Linked DNA regions of Tamandua tetradactyla. The protein of the gene in region 3 purifies or fractionates together with the protein of the main gene of each other region. This does not show direct contact. Links are inferred from orthologs where the notes say so. Each region holds a gene or a part of one and is shown on either strand. Other genes may lie near its edges.

The links. The genes of interacting proteins can lie anywhere in the genome.
Region 1: the proteins of OTUB1 (region 3) and UBE2E3 purify together in Homo sapiens (affinity purification with mass spectrometry; 3 studies listed by BioGRID and IntAct, counting the BioPlex papers as one, with this or other methods). This does not show direct contact. The link is inferred for Tamandua tetradactyla from reciprocal best matches to the Homo sapiens genes OTUB1 and UBE2E3.
Region 2: the proteins of OTUB1 (region 3) and FOXM1 purify together in Homo sapiens (affinity purification with western blotting; 4 studies listed by BioGRID, with this or other methods). This does not show direct contact. The link is inferred for Tamandua tetradactyla from reciprocal best matches to the Homo sapiens genes OTUB1 and FOXM1.

The regions. Positions count from the first base shown.
Region 1 is NC_135329.1:153,623,999-153,634,530, reverse strand, and holds the start of UBE2E3 (ubiquitin-conjugating enzyme E2 E3), read right to left. Parts: upstream 3,995-10,532; 5' UTR 3,622-3,994; intron 3,364-3,621; exon of another isoform or gene 3,223-3,363; intron 3,185-3,222; exon of another isoform or gene 3,036-3,184; intron 2,592-3,035; 5' UTR 2,567-2,591; coding exon 2,373-2,566; intron 595-2,372; coding exon 544-594; intron 1-543. UniProt on the Homo sapiens protein: Accepts ubiquitin from the E1 complex and catalyzes its covalent attachment to other proteins. In vitro catalyzes 'Lys-11'- and 'Lys-48'-, as well as 'Lys-63'-linked polyubiquitination.
Region 2 is NC_135333.1:65,020,145-65,030,184, forward strand, and holds the start of FOXM1 (forkhead box protein M1), read right to left. Parts: upstream 3,995-10,040; 5' UTR 3,745-3,994; intron 1,900-3,744; 5' UTR 1,853-1,899; coding exon 1,351-1,852; intron 774-1,350; coding exon 622-773; intron 1-621. Other genes in the region: RHNO1 (RAD9, HUS1, RAD1-interacting nuclear orphan protein 1), read left to right, coding at 7,948-8,115, 9,184-9,735. UniProt on the Homo sapiens protein: Transcription factor regulating the expression of cell cycle genes essential for DNA replication and mitosis. Plays a role in the control of cell proliferation. Also plays a role in DNA break repair, participating in the DNA damage checkpoint response.
Region 3 is NC_135335.1:10,629,554-10,639,354, reverse strand, and holds the start of OTUB1 (ubiquitin thioesterase OTUB1), read left to right. Parts: upstream 1-5,102; 5' UTR 5,103-5,170; coding exon 5,171-5,228; intron 5,229-5,494; exon of another isoform or gene 5,495-5,812; intron 5,813-6,760; coding exon 6,761-6,822; intron 6,823-7,477; coding exon 7,478-7,576; intron 7,577-9,801. UniProt on the Homo sapiens protein: Hydrolase that can specifically remove 'Lys-48'-linked conjugated ubiquitin from proteins and plays an important regulatory role at the level of protein turnover by preventing degradation.

The DNA of each region.
Region 1 (10,532 bases), on a different chromosome or scaffold from region 3:
TTACAGTAGTGCAGTATCTAGAAAACAACAAATCCATTAGCTTAGCACATAAAATTTGTCCTCAAGGCAAGTCACTGAATAAATAAAAAAGAAACAACTATACTCTTATTTACTGCATTTACATTTTATAACATCACATTTAGCAATTTCTAAATTTGGAAGGTCAGATCAGATTGCATACAAGCACTAAATTTAAAGCTTAACAAATGTTTTAAGTTTTTGCAATATAACTCTGAATATAACGTTCTACAAAAGTAATCTGTATTCTGCAGAACAAAAATCAGTACTATTCATAATAATCTCAGCGAGAAATACAAAATCAGTACATTCAAAACACAAAAATGTCTCTCATACATGCTAAAAAATACTTTTTTCTCGCAAATTTACTGAATTCACCTTTGATAAGTTTTGTTTAATCCACTTGCAAATCTGGAAAGAAGCAAATGCTGCCTCTTACCGGTGCACACATACCCAGACAATACGTGAAATCTCTTGATATTTTGTTCACAATTTGAAATCAAAACAACAAAATGTGCTTCTTACCTGCAGTTAGGAGGAGGATCAAGGGTTATTTCAGCTAGCTCCTTCTGAATTCTGTTGGTGAAATGAGAACAGACAAAAAGCATTGAGGTAGTCTACAGAATAACCAGGGAATTACACTGCCCTCTACCACCATGCAGTTAAATGCAAGGCTGGCTTTGCCTTCAGTAATGCTAACATGGCTGCTTCCTCTTTGTTCTCAGAGGCATAACCCAAATCCCTTAACAGAAACTTTGCAGCTTTTTTTCTCACTTGCTACTGTAAATAAGTAAAACATTTAAACCTGATTTGGGAAATAGTCCCCCACTAGTACTCAGTAAAGGATATAAAATCTATTTCAAAACACTTTTTACTAAAGAAATTCTCTTTACAAGCTTATATGCAAATGAGGCAAGAAGGGAGGAGGGAAAGCACTAGAATATTTGACAATGACTTCGAGTCAGTTTTATTGAGGTAAGAATTAACATGCTATTTTAAGAACATGGAAGTAGTTTTGATGATATTTTATCTGCTAAAAAAAGTTTAAAATTTACAAATATTTTCATCAGTGAAAAACTTCCAAAGGGCTCTTTAGCAATCTTATTTAATTGCATGTTTCCCTAATCTTAAAAAAGTGCTGAAATTTAAAATATTTCAAGGAAAATAAGTTATACTATGTAGCCTTGAATTAAGGAGATAAAAAGCAGTTCTCTCATTTTATTCAAATTTTACATGCTTTCAAAACAAGATTTGTTTAACATGTTCAACAAGACTACAATTGAATTCTTCAAAGTCTGCTATCATCTAATAAAAGAATTCTTGTTATTAATACCTGATTGATAGAAGATAGTAAAAATCTACAGAAAAGAGTATTTCTGAATCACTACAGAATGAAATATTTGATCAGTTTTTCTATTTTCTTTGCACTTTAGTTGTGATCAACAAAATGTCAAAATAGCTAATGCTATAGATACATCTGATGTATCTCTGTACACATATTTACTAAAATTCCTGGGTATTCAATTACCATCACTAATGGAATCCCATTAACAAAATATTTTTTTGTCCATCACAGATAATATCAATCAACATGAACAAATGACCTCTCACTTGGAACCAACAAAATGCTTCTCCTGCTGCTGAGCATTAACGTGTCAAGCATATCTATACACTTTAGAGTAACCAGTCAAAAGGATGATGAAAATCTGGCTATTGAAAACTTCCACTGTTAGCCAAGTGACACCTAAAATTGTAAATGGCTGCTTTTCAAGTTTTACTTGTCCTCACAAGAACAGAGGGACAATCATAACTTGACTATAAAAAGTAATATCTGGGATGCATAGTTTAAAATCTGGTTTATAAAACTTAAGACAGATCTGTAGGACAATTTTAAATCCGCTTTAGCACACAGCCAAGGCCTTGAATGTAAAAGTTTTTTAGCAGATGTGATAATTCTGAGCACTTAAGTTCATGCTGATTTTTAGTGTCCATTTCATGACAAGTATGACTCACAAAAACGAAACACTCCCAGTGCACCATCTAATTTGGGTTCACCAAATTAACCTTCACAAATTCTTTAAAAAGTCTGTCAGGATGTTCATCCAAGCTCTACTAAGAAACACTGTCTGAAGTTACCAAAATGCAGACCAAGTTTGCTTAAGAAGTACAATTTGAGGGAGGTAGTTTATATACCACCTAAAGTATAGGTGGCTCATTCAAGTGTCAAGTGCAAATAAAACTGATCATGAAGTAAATGTTTTTGAACTACTGCTGCTGATGTAAAAACCAATGGAAGTGTCCAATCATTTGGAAGACAACCTGACAATGTGCTTAATTCTTCTTTTACACATTACCTTTTAGCACTAGTGGATAACTTAGCAGTGGTTTTGCTAGAGAGTTTGGTGTTTTTCTTCTGCTGAGTAGCAGAAGGTTTTCTTTCTTCTTGTTCTTCAGGCTCTGGAGCGGCTGGATCTCGCTGGTCCGCATCTGAACTACCACTGCTGGTGCTGGGACTCTCATCATCGGACCTTTGCCTGTCACTGGACATCTTGGTGAAGTTATTTCTTGGAAAACTTTTAAGGAGAGAGAGAGAAAAAAAGGGGAAATGTTAAGTCTAAGAATAAACCACTAGCATTTTCTTTTCTTAATATTCACCTAAAATAGTAACTTAATGAAAAAAGCTTCAAAAATGTTCACACATCTCATCGTACAGCAAGGTTACAGGGGAATTGGTATGTCTCACAACGCCAGCGTTCAAGGATTTTTTACCGAACTCAAGTTGAAAAACCCACTCACATTTTTTTCCATCCCTTGGACAATTTATCAATTGTCTACTTTCTCAGAAGGCATGAAACAGATTTGCCAGGGAACTTAGGCAACGAGCATTAATAACACATGACACACTGTAAATAACAGATCGCGCTGAAAAATGTTAAAAAGTCACTAATAACGTCTAAATATTTACACAGTGATATTGGTCAAAGCTACCAAATTCCCTTTCTGAAAGGAAAACATACCCTGTTAATCGCCCATATGCTTATTTAACGTGGCGATTCCTCTTGTGTGTGTGTAAGCCTTTAATCACAACACTTAGAAATTTAAAAATCAACTAACAAGCTACTCTAGCCGTTTCCACGGCCAGCAGCAAAGATTCATCCGGCCAAAACCGAGCTGACACCCTGGGAAAAGCAGAATCCAAACCACCTTCTGCAAAGCTCCCAATGCCACCACGGTACCTCGCTCAATTTTTACATCACGGACGGACATTTTGTCCAAAATAGCGAGAGAAAAAAATCTGAAGAAAACAAACAAACAAAGCCCCAAGAAGTGCAACAAATTTCCGCGCCCGCGGAGGCGAGCCGCGGCCGGTGGCGGCGGCCACGCAGCTCCGCGGCCCTTTGTGGGGAGGGCCGCGCGGGGGCCGCGGGCAGCGCTCGCCGCGCCGGGCGCCAAGTGATGCGAGCAGCCGGCCGTCCCCGCCGCGGCTCGCGGACACCGGCGGCGCGGGCGCCCGGCGCGAACAAAGCTGCCCGCCCCCGCCCCCTCCCCCACCGCCGCCGCCCCGGCCGCCCCGCACGCGGCCCCCGGGCCCCCACGCCTTACCTCGGCCGCCCGCCCGGCCCGCTCGCGCGCCGCTACGGTGTGGGGGAGGGAGAGAGAAAAAAACCCTTCCTTAAGGAAATGGAGGCAGCCGAGGGGGGGGGGAAAGGGGGGAGGGAAAAAAAGAAGCCGAGGAGGCTCTGGCCGGGGAGTGTGGAACATTGAAAGTCGGAGGGGGTTGTGCAGTGCCGGGCTCCGGCCGGAGGGTGGCGCCGCCCAGCGCCTTCGGGGAAAAAAAAGGGGAGGGGGGGTGTTGGGAGCTCCGCGGGGCGAGGGCGCGAGCTCCCGACGAGGCGGAGGGGACGCGGGAGACCCCCGCGCGCTGTGGCCTCCCGCCGCAGCCGCCCGGCTCAGCTCCTCCCGGCGGCGCAGTCAGCAAGTTCCGAGCCGAGCAGGGGGGAGGGGCGGCGGCGGCGCGCGTGCTCGCTGCTTGCCTGGCGGAGGAGCGCGCGCCCCCGGCGCCCCACGGGCGCGAGCTGCTCCTGCGCGCTCCCGCGCCTTCTCTCGCGCCTCACTTCACCCGGGGGGCGCACGCGTCCGCCCGCGCGCGGCCAGGACAAAGAGCGCGGCGGGGACCCGGCGGGTTGGCCCCTGTCGGCAGAGTCCGCTGAGTCCGCGCCAGAGAGGGCGGGGGCGCGGGCGCCGTCTCGCGGGGCCGCTGAGCCGCGGGGTGGCTTCCGGCCTGCGCCTGCCTCCGGGGCGAGGCTGCCCATTGGGCTACCCGGGGCGAGGGTACCTTAGGGGCGGGAAAGCCGTGGTCATCCCTAGGCTGGATCTGTCTCCTCTGCCTGCTCAGGGGCCGACGTGGACCCTTGGGCCCCAACCCCTGTGCAAGGGCCCTAGACGCGTGGCAGGGAGTCCCCTGCCGCCCCCCTCAGCACTGGAAGACTCCGGGTGGTGGTGATGAGGCCTGGGACAGGCAGAAGATAGCTGCCTTCTCTCCCTCGTTAGGGGCAGGGGCAGGATGGGATCGGGGACGTTAGTGGGGAAGAAAGTATTGCGAGACTGGGGGACCAGCCTCTGCTTCTCTTTGACCCCCAAGCCCGCAGTTGTCGCACTCAAAGGAAACTGACCTTCGGATGCTTTGAAAAGTTAAAAATTCAAAACAGTTTTCAGATATCCTGCTCAACATTTTAGAAAGGTGGGGAGGAGAGTTTGAGGGCTCAAACCTGACACTTTGCTGCTAAGCTGTTCTGACTTGCATACCAGAGACCAGTTCTGGAAACAGACTGGATCAGAATGTCCACACTGAGAGAAGTAGTGGGAATAGTAGAGTCTAGTTTTATTCTACACTTCTGTCTTACAGAGTCTCCAGGTGGACTTTTCTGTTTTTACCCTAAGCACAAACTAGCCAAAAGTACAAAAACTTCCTGTTTGCAGCCCAGACCTCCTCTAGCTACTGAGAACTTGTTCCAGTGATGGAGCCCTAAAGGAATTTGCGGATTCCTCTCCCACAAGTTTCCAGGGGCCCGAGTGCTGGGAGAATGTGGAGTTCACAGAGAGAATGGCAGTCATAGCAGAAGAACAGGAATTAGAAGGAAAAGAAACGAAAAAAAAAAGACTGCATGAGCCAACATTTTTACTCATTTTTCTTCTAAATAGAAAAGTTTTGATAAAGGGATACTTACAACTCTGACCTGTAAAGTTACATTTCTGTAATTTTCCAAAGACACAGTCATTCCATGAACTTTGTTGAGGGATTTGTACCAGGTGCTGGACATACCAAATACACTCACTTATTTTGTGTGGGATTAAAGCCAGATTCCTCTCCTCTGTGCTAGTTCTCAATTCAGAAGAGGAATGGATTATTAAAACTTACTAGGTTATTAAGAAGGAAAGATATTCCTATTCCAGTTAGGATGAGCAACAGGTCTCAAGAAAGAACATGGCGTGTGTATGGACGAGCATTTCAATTCGGCTGGATCGAAGGGTGCAATTTATTAATGAAAATATAGACAGAAGGTTGCCCCCAACTTTTACCCTATGTGACTCTATAGCATAAGCCAGCCCATTTGGCATTTGGGCTTTGCTCTGTTCAGAATGGAGAGATGTTAAAGGAAAATTATATGTTAAAAATTGGTTCTTTCAGGAAATTTACTATTACAGAAATAGCTTTCAAGCCAAAGGGCCAATTGCTGATCGGATTTGGGTGGGGCAGGGAGATCGGGAGATAAAGATGTTTAGCTGTGTTTGGTGGCATCTTTTACAGAAGAAATAATATTGGGCTCCAAGCAAAGGAACCGGATTCTAATCCTTAATAGTTTGTGTGACCTCAAGCAAGTTACTTGTTCCAATTTACTTTTTCTCATATATAAAAGAAGATTGTATCAAAGGTTCTAAGTCCACTTTTGCTGGAAAATGCCATAATTCTTCAGTCAGTTTGGACTCATGATGAAAGTTCCACTCAACATTTATTCAACTACTAAATGATGGGAAAATGGAATGAAATATGGAATCCACCATAGTGGATATTGATATTGATAAATGGTGCCCAATTGCCTTCATTGCCCTAACAGGGTAAATTCAAGTGGTTCTTTACAAATCACAGCACTACTCCAAGGTAGCATGACATCACCACCTTGACCAGAAGCATCTCATCAATTAGAAGTAGTTTCTAAAGTGATCTTCTTCCTCAAAGGACACCCTGTTCTGTAATTATTTTAGCTCTCTCTTGTTTTTGCAGTGTCAATCCTTAAAATTGGGGATCATGATTATACGCATTCCTGAGGGCATACAAATTTGACCTAATGCAAATTATTTCATAAAGCATATAATTAAAAATTTCTCATAAGGTCCTCAAAATAGCCAGACAATGTGGATACCAGCCACACAAGAAAGTTGTTTTTTCTCAGTCTCCTGTGTTGGAATGGAATCTTGCCAGTCTCTCCATCACAAACCTGAAAAGAGGGGCAGAGGTAACAGACAATACTAACAGATATTGCCACAACTACCTACTCTCCCTTTTCCCACCGAATGTGTAACCAAAGGCACCTGTCCTTATTATAAAGGTAGGCTGGGTTCTGGACAAGGCAGACTCCAGAATCCTTTAGGAGTTTAGGAGATGCTTTCTCCTGAGACTTTCAGTAGATCTCGGAGTTTTACATACATTGAAGCATGTATATGTGTGTCTACAGAAAATATACAGAAATACATAATTTGAGTTGTCTAAGAAGTTTCTCAACTAAGTGACTGTGTAAGCTAGGATGGAGCTACAGATCTTTTTAAAATCGCTTGCCATGGGCAGCAACAGACCTTACACAATGAATGTGGAATAAATATTATTTTTTAAATTTCAGAATGTTTTTATTTATTCCTGCCACTCAGTAACTTTCCTTAATATCCTTTTATATTACCCCCTTCTTTTTTTAGGCCATTTCCGTTGCTTCCCTAGTACTTGTATTCTTTTGTCCTCTGACTGCAACATTTTTCTTTCTACACATAAAAACTGGGTTGGTTTACTAGAAAGGCAGTTCTTGGCCCAGTCTTAGTTTAAAAAGCCATTTTTGCCAATGTTTGTCTCAGTGTCTCTGGACACCAGAGTTCAAAGTGCGGCTTGACATCTAGTATTCCTTTACTGTGTCATGTGTGGAAAGCCTGTCACATGCCAGGCATTGGGCTGAGCCCTGGAGTTATACAGATGCATAAGCCTCAGTTTGACTTCTTGGATTCAGTTATCATTTTCTGCTTTTCTCCTGAGGGAGGGTAGATACCAAAAAGGGGTCATATCTTCATTCCATATAGAACTTGATACACTGAAACAAAAACAAGAGCACCTTAATAGGGAAAAAGGCATGAACAGAAAAATTTCAAAAAGAGATGCATTTATTTAACATTGTAAAAAAAATTCAGCCTTACATATTATCAGAGAATGTAAATTAAAATGACGTACTTAACAAAACAGCAAAAACAATTTCTAATGATCGTAATAATTGCTGGCAAAAAATAGCCCTTGTCCAACCCTCTTGAAAAGCAATTTGGAAATTTTTGCCAAGAGCCTTAAACTTTAACCAAGTTATTCCATTACTAGAAATGTATCTGAATGTGAAAAAAATAACATTGAAAATCTGTAAATGTCCCTCTATAGGAAAAGGATTAAACAAACAGATTCACCCACGCAATAAAATTTGCAATTAAGGAAATAATACATATGAGAAGCATGCAATAGTCATAAAAAATGGACTATAACACGTCAGTGAGAGTAGAATTTGTGCATTTTCATTATTGTAAAGTCAGATGCTGGCTCAATGAATTTGGCACAAAGTAAGTGCTCGATAAATATTTATTGAGTGAATAAACACTATATCGTTAAAATTAGCAAAACAAAAAATGTCTGAAAGGAAAATATTCCAAAATGATAACTATGCTTATATTTTAGAGGGACCATGAATAACCTTTTTTTTCTTTTTATATTCAGTATTTTCATATTTTTCATTAATGAGCAGGTTCTGTTTTGATAACACAGAAAAAAATATGTGAATAAATGTAGAGATGTAGATTTGGTAAAAACAAATCGTTTTTTTTTTTTAAGATTTTTAAAATTTTATTAGAATAAATATGATTGAGTTCTTAAAATCAATAGAGAGAGTTTGTGATAGCCTATGCTAAAAAGCAGCAGAAAAAAAGCCATAGAAGAAAACATGTATTTAACCAGGTACAAAAATCGGCTATGCTTCCCAACATTCGTACACACACACACCCTAAGTTGGAACACACACTAGACAAAACTGTTTGTACAGTGAAAATATATGTATCACATATAATTCTGTGTAGCCTTATAAAAATATCAAACCATTATAGATACCTTATAAAAATATCAAACCTATAGATATAGGTTGGAAATTGAACACAACTGAACTGTACGTAGAAAAGGTATTCATCTTTGCATTATAATGACATACTACATTTTGCTCACAAAATTTGAAAATCTAAGAACTGTATAATGCCAAATACCTGTGAGAAGATCATGAGATGGGCACTTTTCTATATCACTGGTGGCATTGTAAATGAATATAACCTTTTTGGAAAGCAATTTGGCAATATGTTTCAAGAGTCATAAAAATGTTCATAACCTTTGACCTAGTAATTCCACTTCTGGGAATCTATCCTAAGGAAATATTCCAAAATATTAAAGAATGCCATGTGCTTGACAGTGTTTATCCCAATGTTATTTATACCACGTAAAAATGGAAACCATTCTAACTGTCCAACATAAGGGTTATGCTTTAGTAAATTATAGTCTTTTCACTTGATGGAATATGATATATGAACATAAAATGGTGAATGTTGTAACAATCATTTTTATCACCAATCCCTGTTCAGTGGTAAATCCTTCTCTATAAGATCCACTTATGCTCTGCTTAGTTAATAAGACTAAAAAAAGAAATTGAACATCACCTTTTTAACTATTTTTACTTAACATTATATCATTTAAATTTTTCTGAGATGCTTTACAGCACCTCAAATAAAATTAGGTTAAGCATATGCTTCTGCTTAGAAAACAAAATTGTTTGCACAATATGTTTTTTTGGAATAAATATAAGAGATTTGGAAGAAATATACAAGTAGAATGATTTTGGGTTAAAGTACAAGTTTACTTATGATTCTGGCTACTTTTTCTATATTGCACAAATGGTTATCTAAGTTTACATTCCAATTGAATACCTTAATGACTAAAGAAGGCAAATTTAAAAAAATGGGTATGTTTCTACGTTGAGAGTTAGTTATCTTTAGCTTTTCATGGGTCTGTTTTAGAAGCTTGTCATAATTTATAAAATTTATAATTTGACATTGATAAAATGTCAAAGTACATATGATTTTAACTTCTCTGAATTATAACATCTCAAAAGAACTCACAGAGCTATGTGACTGGGTAAAAAAATAATGATAAGTAGTTTTCAATACAAATACATACTCAGTAGTGGCAGAGTAGGATGTCTCTGACTTGGGTTCATAAGGTAATGACCACTTTGTAGCAGTACTTGTAACCCAAAGAAAGGATATTGAAGCACTAGACGTTTTAACCAAGGAAATTGAGGCTAAGAAACTCTAAATGACTTCCCTAAAGTCTTAAAGATAGTTATTGACAGAACTGGAGGCAGAACTTGGGGATTCTGCCCCCAATCCACTATACTGTCATAGCCACCAGGGCATGTAGTCCAGTTTCCCAAAGCACCAGCTCCTATAGAGATGTCATAAAGGGTATTGTCAAAAAGTTCTCACAAACCTAACAGTTTTTTCACACCCTTGTTCATAAGCATGAGAGAAACTTTCTCTGACATTGCAATATAAATTTGGTAAACCTGTTATAGCTCATAACACCCTATCTATTTTTTATAATATTTACCATAGTTTGCATGTAAATATTTATCTGTGTGATTATTTCTTTAATATCTTTCTCCCCCTGCTAAAATAAGGATGGGGCTGTATCTGTTTTCTGTGCTTCGTATAGGGCCTGGCATTTAATATTTAGTAAATAATTCCTGAATGAATGAATAAATTAAGTTGCCTTTTAATGCAAACCTGACTGAAGGAAGTGCATTAGAACAATAACAAGAAAAATAATCTCTTTACATTGCCTAATTTATTTATGGAGCCAATTTGCACGAAAGGTAGCATAGGCTAGATGTACAGGAGTCCAAAAGTATTTAGAGAAATTAAAGGGCAATAAACCAATACATTTAAATAAATTAAGGGTGTTTGGTTTCGAACCCTAATTTCTGAAATAGACCACATTTTATCACCAAGCTTCTCTTAGAACCATGGTCAAAGAACAGCTATTGGCTAAGGAAGGAATGTTCTTTTCTAAAAGTACAGGAGGGCAGCAAAATTTTCCTGACCTGCCTAATGAAAAGTCTACAAAGGGAGATCAGGTTATGTGTTCCATAAGGCCAAATGCATTCTGGCAATTAAGGTGA
Region 2 (10,040 bases), on a different chromosome or scaffold from region 3:
TAACTTTATACAGTGTACTAATCTCAAGTGCACAGCTTGGCTAATTTTTAGTGTGTATACATATTTGTAAGCTTTCATTTTTAAACAGTGTTGAATGAATAATTAAAGGGTATAAGTAACAGAATCTAGATGTATGATGTTGGCAGCTGTGAAAAACAACCTCCAATCATACAATTGGGTCAAATAAATTTTGACTGATGGGGAACATATCAAACTCATATCTAATTCACTTTATCCGCCACCTATATTATATCTTCCAATAAAACTATCTTGTTAGAGATATTACATTCCTTTCATACTGTTGGACTAACTCTTTAAAGTTTAAACCAAGACCTCCTAATTGTTTTCTGAATACCTACTAAGGGTTTAGTTACCTAGTGCTGATGAAGCTACAGAGTAAGCCAGAGGATCTCTGACCTCAAGGAATTTTCAAAGATGAAAAAAAAGATCCCAGAGCGAAAAGAAGCTCAACAGTTATACAGAATGGCACTAAATGGAGGCTGATACCAGAACTTGGATTTTCTGCTCCAGCAGGCTGCTGGATCCATTTCCCCTTCCTAGAAATTCCCTGCACTGGCTTTAACTTCCTTACTGAGTGGCCTAGAGCATAGAGCAGTTCACCTTAATCTGACTCTGCTCCAGGGGACGATTCTCCTTTTCCTCCATTTCTTGTTTGATGCTGCAGGAGCCCAGTCCATCAGAACTCATCTTTCCAAGCCACTGGATATTAGTCAAGCTGTTGTCGAGAGGGCAGCCAATGGCCTCACCGGCAGCTAGAGAGGAAACAATCCAAGACTCCACTTAGCTGTCTGACCAGACTCCTGAGAAGCTCACCAGTATTGGTGGTTAGGGATCACCCATCCAAGATTTGTACCCTTAGAGATGGGGAATGCATGTTGAATCAAACATGGCTCTCACTTACTGTGCCCCAGGAGCATAGTTCAAATTGCATTTCAATCTGAGCCAAACTGAGCCTAAGAGGTTAGTGAAGGCAACCATGCAAAAGAGTTACTGAGTATTGCACAAGGAAAGTCATTTTTCCTACTTGTGCTTCAATTTTCTCTTTTATTAAGATGGAGAAAGATTGTCACTTATAGGATCAATGGAAAGAATAAATAGAAATAATAAGCAAATCCTTTTCAAATATGAAGATGGTAATAAAAATGCTAAATTATAATTGCAGCCCTTTCAACAGAGCCCAAAGGACTCAGGTCAAGGTTTTAGGATAATGATAAGCTTTCACAATTCAGGCTGGATGCTTGTCGGTTGTACCAATGTGGCTGACTGCGGGTCTTGTCACCAGATAGGAAAGACTGAACTCCTCACCCCTCTGCCTTGTAGCCCACATACCATAGCTCTCCCATCTCTGCCCAGGAAGGGCTGCCGATGGTCTAGGAAGATTCATGTCCCTCGCTGCAGGCTTTGGTCCCAGGGTCTCAGTTATCACTTCTGTTCTCTTGGCATCATTGCTGGTTTGGGCAGGAGGCTGGGATCCTGGTGGGTCGGTAGGAGGTCCCCCACAGCTGATAAGGATGAATTTGTTGGGCCCGTTGCTGCCACTCTCTTTCCCTTTGGCAGTCAATGCTGTAATGATGCTCTGGATGTTGGCATTGTTAGGGATGGCTACCACTTGGGTGTTGGGCATAGTGGGGTGGTTAATGATCTTGATCCCTGCTGGAAACTTGCAAGAGTAGGGTTCTCCCACCTCCTTGGAGGCCTGTGGTTGATCAGGCTCGTGCTGGGCAGGGGGCCTCTTGGGTTCCTCCTCCGAAGTTTCACCTGGGGCATTTTGAACAGAAAGGGGCAGCCTCCGTCTTTTGAGAATCAGTGGCCGACGGGGGCTGGTTTTCATTATTAATCTGTGCTTTTACTCTCCATTGAGAATCACAAGCAGGGACCCTAAAATGTACAAGAAGCAGTAGGATGTCAGAGATCTGTTAAGCTGAAAAGGAGGTTCTCTTATAGAGAGGTGCTCCTCTTCATGCAACCAGAGGTATGAAAATGAAAGCTTCCTGGACCTTTTGGACTCACCAATGATAGTAGGGACAGAAGTGCCACTGACAAAAGAAAGCTAAAACTGAAGGACACAGAAGCAAATTCAAAAGGACTGAACAATTCAGTAGGACTAAGTTGGATTTAGTCTGAAATAGCCAAAGATCACCTCCTGGAAGCTTAAGAATTCTTGGCCCCATAAATAAGTGGGACAGCTACAAACAGGAGGAAATCTCTATTATTGCCTGCAATAATAGAATGGAAGATGCCAGAATAGGAGGATATATAGTAATTAGGAACTCTGACTCATCCCATAATCCATTCTAGGGCAGAGCCTTTATATCTTTATGCCACCTTCCTTTGTAAGTAATAGGATCGGTGCCCACAGAATTAGGGGAGAAAGGTATACTATACATTGCACTATGCCACCGTAACACCAGAATCATCTTCCCATTCACAATACCTCAGATAAAAGGGAAGCTGCTTATTCAAGGCCCATGGTAAAATTGTGCAAATTGTACATTCATTTCATGGGCTATAACACATTGTCTGTGTTCTCATAAAAAAAGAAATACTTTTCTTTCTCCATTTGCAAAATATTTGCATAAGAGCATTTTAGCACCTCATGTGCTTATCCATATTTTAGCTTTCAGAAGCATGTCATCTTATTGCGTAATTTCTCTTCCAGAACCAAAACTATAACCCTTGACTCCTGACACCTAGAATATGTTATCACTAATTTAATATGGTGGTTCTATAATACTATGGAAAGTAGTTTTATCTAAAAAAAAAAAAAAAGTGCTTTATTGATTTTTTTTTTGTAACAAACATTTTTTGCTTTAGTTTCACACATAAGGTGACATTTTGCTTTGTTGATTTTAATAGCTACAAGGAATAGTGTTCCATTATATAAAATTGTATAATTCTATTTTGAGGTATTTTAAAAGGCAGAGGAATTGACAGTCTCTTTTTTAGGTCATCTGCTATCTCCCTAAAAAGTAGTGCCACACTTGATGACATATTACATTTGCTTAGAATTCACAGGCCCTCCCCATCCTGTCTCCTCCCCTTCCTTCAGATCTAGGCTTCCTCAGCCTTCAAATCTCAGTTTTACTTTCCCCTTAAGACTCTAGGCCTCCTCCCTCCCCCTATCAATCAGTAGATATTATATCTCCCCTTCACCCCCCATCTTCTTCCCGGTCCAAGACTTAATTTTCTCTCCTGTTCCCTGACCAGCCTCTATTTTTGCTGACAACACTCCATCCTGGGAGACTTCCCAAATGACCCCTCTGATCCCACCCCCACCCTGACCAAGGAAACCTTGCTAGGTTCTTAAGACCCAGGAGAAAGGGCTCTGCAAAAGGGTAGGGTACCGGCAGCGCTGCCTGGTGCTGAGAGCGCCTGGAGAGCAGGGGAATGTGCGTGAGAGTTGGTCTTTCACTTAATGCAGAAAAAGCTCAGTCTTCAGCCTTACCGACGGTCCCCGCTGAGAACGTGAACCACCCCGGCCCTCCCGAGTCCGTGGGCAGGGTGCAGAGGTCAAACGTCCAGGGAAGGCCAAGGGCAGGAGGTTGGATGCAGAAAAAGTTTGCACTCTCGCTCCGACCTCCTCCTCGGGTGTCCCCAAACATCCACTCCTGTCCCGCGCCCTGCTGCTAGCCCCCCTGACCTCCTGACCCGGAGGACTCGCGGGAGCCGCGCCGGAGACCTCGCTCCCGCCTCTGCAAGCTCCATTCCTCCGCCCCTGCTCACCTCGGGACTGCAGCTGCAGCTACTACAGGAGTCTGGCTCCTAGGGCGGGTTCCGGGCTCCTCCAACCTGGGGGCTGAGCCAGGCTCCCTGACGGGGACTCGCGCCAGGGCGGCCGGGTCCCCGGCGGTGCGGGAGGGGTAGGGAATCCCGGGGGATCCCGGGAGGGGAGGGGGTCCCGGGCCGGGAGCCGGGGGTGGGGTCCGGCACCGGAGCTTTCAGTTTGTTCCGCTGTTTGAAATTGGCGCCGGCGGAGCGTTGTGGTCACGTGACGGAGCGTCGCCAATCGGCGCCGGTTCTTGTCTCCGCGTTCCGGGCTCGAACGCGTCCGCGGCCGGAGAGGACCGGTCGCCTGAGAGGATCGGCGGCCGGGAGCAGCCGGGCGGGTAAGGCTGGGCTGGGGCGGCTCGAGCGGAGAGGGCTGTCCGCCCGAGGGGTGACTCACGGTGAGGGGCTGAGAGAGAGCAAAAGCGGGGTTCCCGCGTTGGGCTGGGACGCGGCGGAACCGCGGGGAAGCGGCGGTGGCCGGGACGCGGCCCCCTCAGCGGCCTTTCGGCTGGCCTCTCCCGCCCTCGCCCCAAATCGCCCCAGGTGACGCCCCTCTCCCCTCTGCTCCCCTCAAGGTTTGCCTCCCATTTGTAAAGTGTACCTATGAAGTGATACATAGCAGTAAATGATACTTGGTCTGTTTTACAAAGGTCTGATTTCCTTATTGGGGGACATTGTAGTCCATTTGCGTACAATTAACAATCGTGTACTTCCCGCGACTAGCCCGAGAGTTCTTTGAGGGTGGCATGTAATCTTGTTCATTTTTATTCCATCTTAGGAAAAAAATACATTTCTGTTTGGAGAAATGAAAAGGTTTTAGTAATGGAAGGTGGTGATAGTAGCACAAAGTCGTAAAAGTAATTAACGTCACTGAATTGTGTACTTAAAAAGGGTTAAAATGGCAAATTTTATGTTTTGTGAATATGTTTCCAAAACTAAAAACATACCCAATGGTAAAAAAATACACACACCATAAACCGTACCTCAGCTCTTCATCTACTACTGACCTGTCTCATCCCCTCATCCCTTCCCAAAGCCAAGTTTCTTGGTATAATAAAGTGCTTTATTTCTTCACTTAATAACAAATAGCTGTTGAGCATCTACTGTGTGTCAGGCACTGTGATAGGCCTTTGGGGTATGATGACAGCATTGTTCTTTCCTTCCCTTGAATTTACAGACCAATGGGAGTGTGTATGTGGGGAGAAGGTCTAGGCATTTTCAAATAATCACATAAATGTAGAAGTGTACCTATGAAGTGATACATAGCAGTAAATGATACTTGGAGAATCTGTAATAAAGAGATCTTAGGTAGGCCAGGAAAGATTTTTCTAAATGAAGCTTGACATTTGGGCAAAGAAAGGAGGGAAGCCCTGTAAGCCGAGGGAGTAATACTATGTACAAAGGCCATGTGTCAGGAAGAAGCATTCTGAGTACAAAAATACCTGAGGAGTTTGAGCTAAGAGACCTGAATGGAGTGTGGGTGTGAGGTGAAGCTGGAGCCAGAGGAAGCAGGGGCTTATCCATTCTGAGGAGTTTTGTCCTGAACTAAAGGAAGCCAATCACAAGTTTTAAGCAAAAGTACATGGTCAGATTTGCAGTTTTAAAAGGTGCTGCTGGAGGGGAGCCAGAATGGATTAGGGTAGACTAAAATTATTTCACTGGATTAGGGTAGACTATTTAAAATTATTTCAATTCTCCAAGCTGGAATTGTTAGCACTTGAAGAAGGATGGTAGAGAGAGTGTGTGAAAGGCAGTATTGAAGATATGTTTAAGAGATAATATTGACAGGGCTTGGTGTTGGTTGGCAAAGCGAAGGAAGAGGAAGTGTCAACCTTTCTGGCTGCAAAACTGGATGAACAATGACTCTAGGGCCCCGGAAGATAAGTCGTTTTTATGGGGGTGAGGGGGTGGGGGTGGGGGTGGGAGTGGAGGCATGGGGAAGAGAATAATGAGTTCAGTTTTAAGCATGAGTTTGAGGTGTATTTGAGACAGTAGGCAGTGGGAACTATGGAACCTGAGTTTAGAGAGTCTAAACTGAACATATAAATATTTAAGTCATCTACTTCTAGGTGACAATTGAAAAGTAAGTGAATGACATTGCCTGAGAAAGTGTAGAATGAGAAAGGCCTTAGACAGCAGAAGGGACTGACAGTACACCTTGAGTAACTGCTGAAAGGAAGAGGATAGGTGAAGTAGAAAGTAAAGTCATCTGTTGAGAGGGAAGGGGAGTTCAGAAGTTTTGAGAAAATGGAAGTTTTAAGATGATATTTGTAGGGAATGAGTTGATTAGAGAAACACAGTAGATTGCTGAGCAACGTGGTGAGCCCATTTTAGGCTGGTGACTTTCATCAAGACAGTAGTTTCAGCACTTCTCAGGCAACCATCGCTACTACTGTCATCTTCACTAGACTCTAGCAGTAGCCCTCTAACTGGACTCTGCTTCTCTCTCCACCCCCTCTTGCCAACCCAGCTTTTCTCACAAAGCTCCTAGAGTTATCAAAACAGTAAATCACATTATGTCACTTTCCTGTCCAAAACCATTCAGTGGCTTCCCACCAAAGAATAAACTCCGCAGTCCTTAATCTTGCCTACAAAACCTTGTGTCAACTTCCTACTACCTCATCTCCAACCTCACTGACCTTACTGTTTCTTACTTTGGGGTCTTCACACTTAACTGCTCTCTCAGTCTGGAATATCCTTTGCTCACGTTTCTCCATTGCTTGCTTGTCCTCCTTTCTTCTTTCAGGTCTTTCCTCAAGTGTCACCTTATTTAGATAGGCCTTCCTTGTCAACCCTGTCTAAAATAACACTTAGAAGGCTCAAACCCTTGTCCTATTTGATTTTTCTCCATCCCTCTCATAGCTTCCTCACTAGGTAGCGCCATGAGGGCAGGGATTTTATTTTGTTCTCTGGTTTATATCTCTAGCACCTGGAACAGTGTCTGGCTGGATCTCCACAGTTTCCCATCACCCATTGCTAAATATTGAGTGAATGAATGAATGAATAAACAAATGGATGTGTTTATTTCCTTAGTTCTCCCTAAAATGTTAGTTCCTTCAGGGTAGGGGCTTTGTCCTTTTTCTTTTCACTGTTTTCCCTTTCATACTGCTTGTTGCCAGGATATGTCATAAATGACAAACAAAAACCAATTATGACATTTATGTGACAATTGGAAATGTGAATGCTGTCAGGACGTCTGCATATTTGATGATATTAAAGAATTAATATGTTCTTATATATTTTGTGTTAATGGGAATAATGATGATTCAGATCATATTTATTTTAAAATAATATAAGGGTTAGGGGAGAGGGTTGCAGATGGGTCAAGGTTTGTGGTGGGTTGATGGTTGGTTATTAGACTTTGGTGATGGCTATATCTGGGCTCATTGTACTATTCAATCTACTTCTGTGTATGTTCAGAATTATCTGGGGTTTTAAAAAAAGCCAAATATGATCATATCCTTCTGCTTGAAAATCTTCATTGACTTTTCAGGCTAAAGTTCAAACTCACGGCACACTTGATTTTTCTAATCTGACACCATGTCTAGCCTCAATTCTTACCACTTGGCTTTTCATATGCTGAATCCACCCATACTGGTATACTGATGTTTCTCGGCCTTTGTATGTGCTCTTCTCCCTGGGAGTGCTCTCCCTGCTTCGTTGCTTCTCCTAGCCTTTCCATGCCCTGAAGAGAGGAGACACATTTTTCTCATATTGTTTGGTAGTTGTCTGTTTCCTCTCAGCAGCCTCTCAGCTCCTTGAAAACAGGGATCTCTATATTGCTCTACAAGTGTTTGGTAGTCAAATGCGTCTTGAATAAATGGCTCCCAACACCCTGTATGGTACTTAACATGTGTTCAATAAATGTTTATTAACATGTGCTTAATAAATTTTTATTGAATTAATGTTGTTGAATATGAATCATTGTATTTTTGCTTGCTGTTATAGGTGTAGGAAGCTTGGTCCCTATGACTTTGAGGTGGTAGTTTTTGTTGCAATAGGTTGCCTGGGTATCAGGAAGAGCTACAGAATTATCTGGATTATTTTCTCCCAGCTTTTGTTTCTTCTCTACAGGCATGGGTTGGAATTGGAGCCTGTCACCCCACCTGATTGCAACCAGCATCATGTGGTTGCCAACTGTTCTGCATTCATCTGTTGATGCCGCCCAGAAAAAAACGCCGCCAACGATCCCAGAAAGCTCCACTGCTATTCCAGCAACAACCACTGGAGGGCCCCAAACACCACTCTGGATCCCCACAGCTTCCCATCACCCATACTAAACGGGTGCCCAGCAAGCCTATTGATCACAGCACCATCACTTCCTGGGTAGGTTCATAGGATTCTTATTTTGACTTTTACTCCAGTAGGTGTCTCAGAATGCTAACCATTGAACAAGGACCTCCAAAGAATAAGATTTTTGGGGTGCAAAAGACAAAGAAGCATTGTATTCTTTCTGTTTTCAGCCATCTCTTCTTTTTTTCTCGTTTTAAACTGAGACATGGGTTGGTTAGAATTGTTGCCTTTCCCCCTACATTCCTCTAAAGGAGTTCAGTGTAAAGCTTTCACCACCCAATAGCCAGAAAAATGACAAGAATATTGTTCCCTGAGTTTCATATGAGAAGTGGAGTACTCAGGTATTCTCTTTACTGTTTAATGGATTGAACTTTGAAAAACAAAATGCACAGAAATTGGATATGTGATAATTTAACTATTTAAAAGCTCTGGAATAAGGGATTAGCTACTATATGGCATGGAAATAGTATAACAAAAGGGCTAGACAAAAGCATAAGCTCTGTTTAGTTAAGAGTGACTAATAAATAAAACTTGGCCAGGACTGCTTGGAAGAACTGTAATACTCACTTGAGGATTGTGGAAGAAACTTAAATTTTAGAGTTCTGTGGACGAAAATAAGAGTGAATATTTATTGACTACTTACTATGTGCCAGACCCTATGCTGATTGTTTTACATACATGATCTCAGTTCCTCATTCATGCATTCAGCCATTTATTATTTCCTGAGCGAGGCACTCTACTAGGTTCTGGGGACTGTGATGTGAACAAGACTGCTGTTGGTCCCTCCTCTCATGAAATATAAAGATACTTTAAAAGTTGCAGCCATATTGTGTGAAGTCAAAGAGACATTGTTCCTTTCTTAAGTATAAGGAAATAGCCAGAGATTGATTTTTTTTTTTTTTTTTTTTTACCATAGCTCATATCCCTTTCTGTTACTATGCCACTAGACAACTGTTATTTTTCTATTTCTATTACCAAAGTCGGCCCCCGTATAGGATTCTGGTCACTGGATGTCAGTTCCTGGTTATGGTTTGTACTTTCAAGTTTGTACTTGGCAGTTGGTTCTCTTCACTTCTTTCTCTTTTTTTTTTTAATCCTTAGATATTGCCTGAGTTTGACATGACAGCAGAAAGTTGGTATCCAGTCAACCAGAAATGTCATCACCAAGACCAGGCAAGACATTCAAGTCGCAAATCTGCCGCCTCCAAGTTTCCACAACTAATCTTTGAGAGTCCACAGTCTTCTTCCAGTTCAGTGACACTGGAGATCCCCTTAAGCAAGAAGGGCCCTAGTCAACTGGCAAAGGACATTTCTGGAAGGCCCTTAGTTCCAATGCTCAGCCCCCAAAGTAGTAGGGAACTGTCAGTGCATGCACTTCAAAGTCCAGGTTATGTGTTCATTCCACCTGATATCCAGACCCCAGAGTCATCTGTGAAAAAACCCATTCACCCAGATCAGAGGAAGAACAGCCTTCCAAGCTGCTCCCTTCACTCTAGTACTCCCAAGAATGAAGGGCCTGGACCTGCTCTAGTTAAAGACACTCCTGAAGAGAAGTATGGCATAAAGGTCACTTGGAGGAGACGGAAACACCTATTTGCTTACCTCAGGGACAGAGGGAAGCTGAGCAGAAGCCAGTTCCTTGTGAAAAACTGACTTATCAGATAACAGCCTCTTTATTAAGAAACACAAGAAATTGCTGATTTTCATAGAGTTGCTAAAGTAACTTTTCTGACTCACAGGAAGAGTACATCAATAGAATAAAATGGAAATAACACCAAATTAAAAAACAACTTTAACTGGAGCCCTGTAACCAAAAGGAAATTAAACTCCCTGATTAGCTTTTTAAAATACCTTGTTTCATAAACAGTTGGATTTAGTGCCATAAACAGTTTACTTCATATTTTTCTTATATTAACTGTTTAATTAATTTTAAAATGGCTTTTAACTTTAAAATGTAT
Region 3 (9,801 bases):
CTTGTTCATCCTCTCTAGCCCTCTTTGTTGGTACTCAAGAATCAATGGCAGTATCTTGCTTTTGTTTTAATGTCAGCTCCAGGGTCCCTTTCCTTTTAGTGCTGTCGCCATAAATGCTATGGACTGACTGGTCTTCATTGTCCTCCCTGCCTGCTTCCCTTTTCCTTCCCCTCCTTGGCTTGGGGAGTTTGCTGCTTCTTCATCCCCAGAGACGCTTCCTCAGTGATTCTTACTGAGTGGTTTCTAGGGGTCTGGGGGTGCCTCCTTAGCTAGGATGGTGCATGTGAAGTACTCCTAGCTGAGCTGGATTCCTGGCCACCAGTGTCCAGAAGGAACCCTCAGATTGCCAGGCCCCACCCCTGGTAGAGGACAGGTTTTAGCTCTCCTTTGCATCCTCTTTGTAGGGGTGACTTGGTTGGTTTCTGAACAGAGATTCTTTGTCCTGTGACACTTAAGGCTGCTAGACAGCGGGGGCCAGGACAGCAGACAAATTTGGCAGGTGAGAGCTGCCAAACATGGTTTAGGACATGGTTAGCTCCAGGCCTTGGGTGTCAGAATACATGTCTTCCTACTTCCTTTTCTGCAGAGGTCTTGCCCCTGCTATGTGTCAACAGAGCTGCATATGGACCTTGCTTACCTTCCCTTTGTCCAATCTCTCCTGGCCTCTGTGTGGTACCCAGTGGTGAAGCCTCTGGGACCCAGGGATGCCCTTGAGACCCAGTGCCTAGTATTGTGGCAAGTCCAGCTCCTGCCTAGCTCTGCTTCTCTGAGGGTAAGGAGCTGGTCCTCCGCCTCCTAGGTGACTTCAGTCTTCATACAAACAGACCTCTATTTCGGAGGCTGAATGGACAGGGCCTAGTTGGAGGAGAGGTGAGAGACTGCTTGAGGCAGGAAGGGGGCTGGATGCTGGGAGGTGTGCACAGGTTGGAAGGTTGGTCAGTGTAGAGGGAAAGCCTGTGTTGAGTCTGGGGCAGGCTGAGCCTGGCTGGGCCTGAGCTTGAGGTATCTCCCTGCCACCTGCAGGGTCCTTCTGCAGCTCCCTTGTCTCTGGGGAAAGGAGCCACCTCACACCTGCCTCCCAGACTACAGGGTACCCTTTGTTCTATGCTTCACTCTGGGGGGCTTGCCTGTTCATGTTAGCCCCTGAGTGCCCCCTGCCCTTCTTCCCATGCTTGACCCTGGCCTGGCAGCCCCTGGCTGTCAAGGGGTGGGGGGTGGGGACCACCATGCCCAAGCCTCCACTTTTGGAGCAGAGGCCCCTGAACTTGGCCCTGGGTTGGCCCAGGGTTGTTTTACTCAGGCTGTGGGCACAGATCAAGCATTGCTCTCACAGCCATGGGGCTGCCACAGCAAGAATGTGAAACCAGGAGAGGAATGTGTCTTGAATTTCTATGGTAAATTCATTGCCCTCCTGGCCAAGCCACATAGTTCTTCTGAGCTTCAGTTTTCATGACTGTAAAATGAAGATAGTATGGTTGGCAGAAAAGTGTGGCACCCCCACCCGAAAATGTCCATGCCCTAATCCCCAGATTTTGAAATGGGGAGATTATCCTGGATTATCTGGGTGAGCCAATCTAATCACACAAGTCCTTTAAAGTGGAAGAGGAGGCCTGAAGACTGGGTCAGAGATGTGATCTGAGAGGGACATGACCCACCACTGCTGATTTTGAAGATGGAGGAATGCCCTGCCTCCAGAAGCTGGGAACAGCCCTGAGCTGACAGCCAGCAAGAAAAGGAGCGCTGCAAGGAACTGAATTCTGCCACCAACCTGACGACCAGGAAGCGGATTCTCCCCTAGGGTCTCCATAAAGAAACACAGCCTGCCAACACCTTGATTTTCGTCCAATGAGACCCATATCTCACTTCTGACCTCCAGAAGAGTAAGGTAATAAATTTGTGTAGTTTTAAGCCACTAGGTGTGTGGTGACTTGTTACAGCAACGACCAGGAAATGAACTCATCTTTCTCCTGGTGCCCTGAGGCTCCTGCACAGAGACCCCCCATGGAGACTCAGCAGGTGGTCATGTGAACTGGAATGTAAGACACTGAGATGGGTGTCCCAGCAAGGAGTTTGGGTAGGGGCCTCTCCCTTTGCTGCCTCTGCCCCTCCTCTGTTTCCTGCCTCTGCCACCTTGGATCTGGCAGGATAGCCTCACAGCCCAGCGGCGGCCCCAAAGTACACAGCCTGCTCAGCCTCATCATCCCGGCCTCTGCAGCCATCACACCCTCCCTAGGCTGTGATTTGGGGGCCGTCTGCCATGTGAACAATCGCGAGTCCCTGCAGCAGCAGCTCCAGAGGTTCGTCTGTAGGCTGGGCATGTCCCCACTCCAGCTGTCCGAGCAGCGTGTGACTCCCACGCCTGCCCTGGCGAGGACTGCCTAGCCCCTTACCCTTTGAGGCTTTCTCCTAGCCACGGCCTTCCTGTGAGGACTGTGGCCGTCCTAGAGTCCATGGTGTCTCTGGGTGCCTTGGTCCCCCCAGCTTGGCCCCTCTCCTGGGAGGGGGAAGAGGTGGGATGGGTCTGGAAGCCATGTGACTCTGTGCCATCCTGTAAACTCCTTTGTGGCTGGGTCCCCAGATGGGATGTGGAGGGGTCTCCCTCTTCCCAGCCTTGCTCTCAGGCACGGATGCTTCGAGCTCCTCCCCTCTCCTCGGGGACTTTGAGGTAGCCTCCTAGGACATCAGGGCAGGGCCCTCTGTCCTACACCATAGGCATGCCTATGTAGGTACAGTGGAAAATAAAGTCCTTGGCTGCAGCCTGTCAGCTTTGTGACCATACCCGACAGCAGGCTGAACCCAAGCCCCAGCACTGCCTGTTTCATTCAGTACATACCCTCAGCAGCCATGGCCAGCAACATTTGACCATTTCTGGATTGGCACTTTGGGAGGCAGAATAGACTCCTGGAGCTGTGTCAGTGACTCCTGGCAGATCTGCCGTTGGGTTTCAGATTCTTGAGGATAGAGAATCAATAGCCTAAAACATGGTAAAAGTTACAGGGGAGTTGGGGTGGGTGTAAGAGAACAGTTCTTAACCACCAAATAAATTGGCACTGGGCAAAAGTTGACAGTCTTGGGGCTGGATGAAAAAACCAAAACTTTTCTCTGGCCATTTTCTTTCCATTCTGCCTGACAAGGAGGGGGAGGGCTGGGGAGTAGATGGGAGAGAGGACCCTCATTTATGGGCCCTTTGTACATTGAGGGTGTGTGTCCGTTCTTCAAGCCCCAGGCCCACAGGGGTGGGAAGGAGGCTTTAACTTGTACTGGCAGCCTGGCTGCACGCCAGCCCTGAGCCGCAGCTGGGAATCCTTTTCACTCTTCAAAGCAGCTGTGGTCCAGGTGCCCACAATTAGTCCCAGCCCCACTCCTACCCCTGTGGACTCCATCATCAAGGTAAGGGAGAGGGAAGGTTGTCTTATTACTCTTTTCAAGATTTTAAAAGAGCCAAATAGAAATCATGTTTTTTCATCAAGCATCTTTGCTCTTATTTTGTTAATACTGCTTTCTCTTCTGATCTACAGGTCTGATAGGCAGTTACATATTCCATGGTTCAAACAGTGAAAAGGCATTGACAGATGATAGGCATGGGATCCAAATAGAGTGGACCTTCTGCTTTCTTGACTTTGGAAGCAATCCCCAAGGCCCAATTAATAAACAGTAATTTATGATGTTGCTGGGACACACATTTGGCATTTGAAACACAGCTGTGAGAAGGACACGGTTGGGCTGGGTAAGCAGTGAGCCAGGCACCAAAGGCACCTCCTCCAAGGCCAGCCATCATTCAGGAAATCTTTAGTTACATTCCACTACTGTAATCCATGGATCTACGGATCTGACTGGGACTGAGGCCTCCTTGAGCACTAAAAGACCACTGTCACTCCCCTTGGTAGTGAAAAGTTAGGAACCAGAGCCCCAGATTGCAACCTTTCTAAATAAGAGCATCTTCAGCATTCAAGGCCTTGCTTATTTACTTATTTATTTTTTCATTCAGGAGGTTTATTGGGCACACAGGAACAGTGTAGGTAAGGAAGTGAAGGGAACAGGATGGGGTAGAGAGAGAAACTGAACTGGAATATAATTGAAACAGGCCTTAGTACCATGGGGAGCTCTGAAGCGGGGATAGGCCTTCAGAGAGATCCTAAAATGAGGCCAGGGGACCAGGTCTTCAATCACTATCACAGGGCAGGTATCAGGAGGCAGGATCATGGGGGAGCAAATTCCTTCCCTGGAGGGCAATGCTGGGGAGGGACTCAGCTGTGCACCTCCAGCATTGCCTTATTTTGAAATTTTGAAATAATTCACAGGCTATTGTAAGAAATAAGACAAGAAGATCTCATGTACCCTTTACCCCCACTGGTAACATCTTGTATCTTGCAAAACTATAGTATAGGATATACCAGGATATTTTTCTGATACAGTTAAGGAAGGGAACATTCCCATCTTCACAAAGATCCTTCCAGTTCCTTTTTGTAGCCACACCCACTTCCCTCCCGCCCCCTCCCCCCTCCTTAACCACTGGCCATTAATTTGTTCTCCAAACTTTGCCTTTAAAACGACCTTGTTTTCTCTCCAACCGGAAAGGTACGGGAGCCCTAAATTAGGTCCCCGGGCTCTGGCCTCGATACCAAGGGCCGAGAGCAGGACACCAAAGCCGGCATAGAAAGGGAGGCGCGGTGAGGGGCAGACACACCGCTGACGTCCTGGGGCTCTGAGGGGCGTCCCAGGATTAGCGTGACTTCCCATCTCCCCGTCCACATGCTCCCTCTGCAGCTACAATCGCATGCTGGCACCCGCAGTAGGAATCTCGTCTTCAGTGATTTAAATGTCATCTTCTTCCTTATCTCAGTAACAGTCCGCGTTTCAAACTCCAGTGAAAAGCAAACTGAATTGGTTCCAGGAGGCTCTTATCACCATCGGAAACTTAGCCTGGGAAAGATGGTACAAGCAAACATACGGGGTGGCGGTACGGGCAGGAGGCGGTCTTTCTTTTGCAGGGCTTCGGGCCTGCACGCCTGCGGTTGCCACGCAGGACCTGGACGCCATCACTTGACAACGCCCGAAGGGACCTCGTTGCTAGGAGTGTTGCCAAGGAGGGGCTACCGAGAGAGGCTCACTTCCGGGAGGAGGGCGATAGATAACCCGGAAGCGGTCGCCAGTGCGGCGCTGTTTAAAGATGGCGGCGGAGGAGCCTCAGCAGCAGAAGCAGGAGCCGCTGGGCAGCGACTCTGAAGGTAACGACGGAGGGAAGGATGTCCGTCCCGAGCCGGCGGGGGCAACCGTGGGCCAGCCGTTCCCGAGTAGGTCGGAGCGGATGAGGCCGCCGCTGGCCGGGGGCGGAGCGCGCAGATTGCCCCCTTCTGTGCTGCCCTCCCCCCTCCCCTTCACAATGGAAGAAGCCGCTGCTGCGACCCCCGGGTGGGCGGGCGGGTCAGGCCAGCGGCCCTTCCCCGTCACGCAACCCGGGGCGGGGCCTCCGCCGCCCCGCCCCCGCCCCTCCCCCTCCCCCCGCGGCGGGCCTCAACTGTACACTGCCTGAGCCCTCCCGCCCAGGTCTTGGCCGTCCGGCAGAGGCCTAGGACCGGCGGAGCCGCCCGCCTTCTTCTAAGGCAGCCTACGCGGCCCGGAGGGTGTCAGGTTATCCCGGGGAGGGCTGAGCTGCAGAGCCCAAAGGACCAGGCGGGAACCTGGGGTTGGAAGGGCCTGCCGCGGTGTCTGTCTCTTAGGGCCCCGACCTTCGTTTTCTGCAGAGACCCTTTTCTGGCTTTGTAGCCTCCTGCCGCCTGCCAAGGCATTGTTTTCTCCGACTCCTGAGGAGGTGGGGGCAGCATTTCGCACCTCTCCCTTTCCCTTTTCCACCTAGGAGTTGGGCTCTGGGAACTGAGTAGCCAGCTCACTTGGATGGGAGGGCAGCAGTGTTGCAGGCCAGTGACCAGCTGAGAATGCATAATGGTCAGGCCCCAGAGGGGCCCCCAAGTCATTCAGCAGGCACACGCCCATCCTAACCAAACACTTGAGAGACTGAGAAGAAGAAATTCAGGTCTGCTGGCTCCACAGAGTGGGGTCCACAGGATGGACCTGCCCAACTTGATCACACTTAACGGGAACTTCTGAGGTCCCATGTACTCCTTATGACAATTCAGTGAGGGGAGAAGGTGGTGGTATTAGCCCCATTTTACAGGTGAGGCAGTTGATTCTGCAGTGAGGTAATGGGGTCATTCTGGTGAAGAAATCAGACTTTGGGAATTAAACCTGGGTTTGACCAACACAGGTTTTTACTAGTTGTGATCTTGGGCAGGTTACTTCACCCCTCTGCATCTGTTTTGTTATCTGTAAAATGGGCACTGTTAAAGCTACTCAGGCTGCAGAAGGGGGAAGGGTGTGACCAGGTAGAATGCAGGCTCATAAGAAGCAGTAATCTAGCCTCAGACTCTGCCTCCTTCTCCCATTTTACTTTCCCCAAGAGACCGTGTCTGGCCCCAAGAGCATTCTCATGCTGCAGGGAAGTGATGTTAGAAATTAGAGAGGGAGGGGGTGCCAGGTCTGGACAAACTAACCTTGAGAACAATCAGTTCTGTCTTATTTTAAAGATGAGACTGGGGCCCAGGAGGAGAAGCAGCATCACCAATGTTATAATAGGACAGAGTTGGAGTGGAGCAGGGTGTAAGAAGCATGCCTCTATACTTCAGGCTTCTCCTCCTCCTCTGGCCCCAGCTGTCCAGAGTGGAGGTGGCCAAGACCCACTGTAATCTTTTTTTTCTTCCAGGTGTGAACTGTCTGGCCTATGATGAAGCCATTATGGCTCAGCAGGACCGCATTCAGCAAGAGGTGAGGGTCTGTGAGGCAGTGGCCCTTTGTGCCCCTTTGCGTGAATGCCCAGGCTGGGCACGGTTTTAATTTCCTGCTGCTGAAACAAATACCAGCCAGTGGGTTGGCGTAACAACAGGAATTTATTGGCTCATCATTTCAGATCCTAGAAAGTTTGCTTCCTCCCGGGTCAGTATCTTCTGGCTGGCCGGCAGTCTTGGGTTCATGGCAGTACACATGGTGGCATCTTCTCCTTCCTCTTCTGGGTTCTGTTGACTTGTAGCTTCTGGCCGTTTCTTCTGGTTTCTCTTTTTGTGGCCTCTCTATAAGGCTTCTAGTAATAGGATTAAGACCCATCCTCTTTCAGTGGGCTCCACCTTGACTAAAGAAACCTGATCAAAAGTTCCTGTTGACAATGGGTTCACTCCCACAGGGGTGGATTAAGAATGCAAACATGTTTTTCTGGGGGTACACAGCTCCAGGCCACCACAGGTCTGTTGTCTGTCTCCACTTGGAAGCTCTCTTCTCTTCATGTTGTGCTAGGTCTTAGGTGGTTATGGAGGTTACTATGCCATTGGGTGACCAGCCAGCACCCTTTGTTTAGGTGCCCTGGCTGTTAGGCATGGATCCCCTCCACCTGACTGCCAGAGCTTGATGGATTTCCCACCCCCTGCAGATTGCTGTGCAAAACCCTCTGGTCTCAGAGCGCCTGGAGCTCTCGGTCCTATATAAGGAGTATGCCGAGGATGACAACATCTATCAACAGAAGATCAAGGTGGGGGCTGCCCAGAGGGAGCAACAAGAACACTGGGGCTGGGGGCTGGAGGGTGGTTCCTCCAGACTGTGCCTTGCTGGCCCTGGCTCCTGAGAGGGTACGGTTTTAGAGGAGACCTCTGGTTGCTTTTTCTTAAGTGGCAGGGTCTGGTATAAAAAGATGTCGGTTCAAATCCTGACTCTGCACTCAGCAGCTGTATCCTTGGCAAATCCTTTAATGTTTCTGAGCTCAGGGGTCCTTGTCTATAAAATAGGGACAATGAAAGCACCTGCCCACAAAATAGTTGTGTGAGGTTTAAGGGAGATGCTAATCGTGTGGTGCCCACCAGGCCAGGGATGGGGTGGGACACACAGGGTGTGGTAGCAGGGGTGTATTCCACAGCCTACCTCCTGGATCTTAATGGAGAGGCAGGCAGCAGGGGGAGAGGGGGCCCACAGACCTTTGTCCAAGGCCCTGCTGCATTATTTACAAACTGAAGGAAGTCACTTAAACTCTCAGCTCCTTTATCAAGAAGCTCTTAAATGTGACAATGGGACTATATGTAAACAGTATCCAGTAGGCACAGAATAGGGCTTAATGAAAGTTACTTCTCCCACTGCCACCCCCAAAATCGGAGATGCTTAGAATATCCCACCAGGAAGGAGGGACCTTCAGATTATCCATTTTGGGGACCAGGCAGGTAACCAGAAGATTTGGGGTGGTGAACACCGGGCATCACAGCCTCAGTAGCAGCCAGACAGAGTGAAGGCCGCTGGGGCAAACTGGAATGTTCTCACCTGCCTTTCTGTCGTTGCCAGATCTGTTTTCAAAGAGAAGCCAGAAATAATGATTTTTATGTGAAATCTTCTGACTTCTAACAGTGGGCAACTAATTCTAATTTAAAATGGTGTGTGGGTAAAACACACCATGCAGGTAAAATATACCTGCAGACGGGAGCCAGCCGAATGTGCCTCTGATCCTCTTGAATCCCTTGCTCAGAGTGTGTGTGACGTACCCGGGAGGCTTATGGAGAGGTGGAGGCCCTGGCCTTGAAGCTGGACAGGCCTGGGTGTGAGCTTGGGCAGACACAGACCTTGCAGCCGCGGTGGTTCTCTTATCTCTGGGTGGAGAGGTCTTTTCCCTCACAGGGCTGGTGTGAAGCTTGAGGGCGATGGTGGTGGTCCTGGCAATGGTGAGTTCAGTGTCCGGCGCACAGCCATGGCTCAATTCAGCTGTGGGTTACCCCCTTCCCCGTGTGATGGGTCGGTGGCATGAGACCCCCATTTCAAGGCCTACCCATCACACTAGACCCACCGCCCCTGGCAGGGTGGGCCTCTCAGACGCCTCCCATTGGTTCACTCACAGCATGTTTGATTCTCCACTGCGTGTTGGTGTGGGAAAGCTGCCTTGGTGCTGCCCACATCCCCGCTGCATGTGCTGGGTCTGAGCCCACCTTTCCTTCCTGTGAGGAGAGACAGGGCTACGAGGAGCCTCAGCCTGGCTGCAGAGCCCCACACAAACTCCTCGTCTGTAAGACCCAGTAGGACGGTGGGTAGCAGCCTTAGTGAAGTGCCTGGTACAAAGTAAGTGCTCAGAATTCTTTTAGCTTTTGTTTGTAGCAACAGTGATTTGGGTTCTTGATACCAGTTGTGTGCTGTCCATTTCACCGATATTTACTGAGCAGATACTGGGGTTCAGGTATTGTTTTAGGTACTGGAGATAAGTAATGACAAACTGACAAACTCCTGCACTCATGAAGCTTCCATTCCGTAGTGGAGAGACCATGAGCAAAGGATAGAACTACAGTATATGATATGTCAGTGAACACTGTGTTCAGTGCTATGGAGGAAAATGAAGAAGAGATGGGAGTTGGGGAGGATTTGCAGTTTTAAATAGGGTAGTTGGCTGAGGCCTCCCCGAGAAGGTAGTATCTGAGTAACAAATCGAAAGAAGCAAAGGAGCAGGTCATGGGGCCATCTGGTGACAGGGCAGGCAGAGGGTCCCCAGGCAGGGACAGCACAGAGACCGACATGGCTGGAGCCTGGCTTTTACTCTTGAGTGCAGTGGTTGCGGTTTAACAGGTTACTCTCATTAGGCTGGCCGCTGGGTTAAGAATAGACTGAGGGGCCAGGTGAGAAGGCTTTTACAGGCAGGAGGTGATCTTGGCAGGGACCAGAGGGTGAGGGGAAGCATTGGGGAGCAGTTGCATGCTACTATCTCGAAGAGAGAGCCGGAAGGATTTGCTT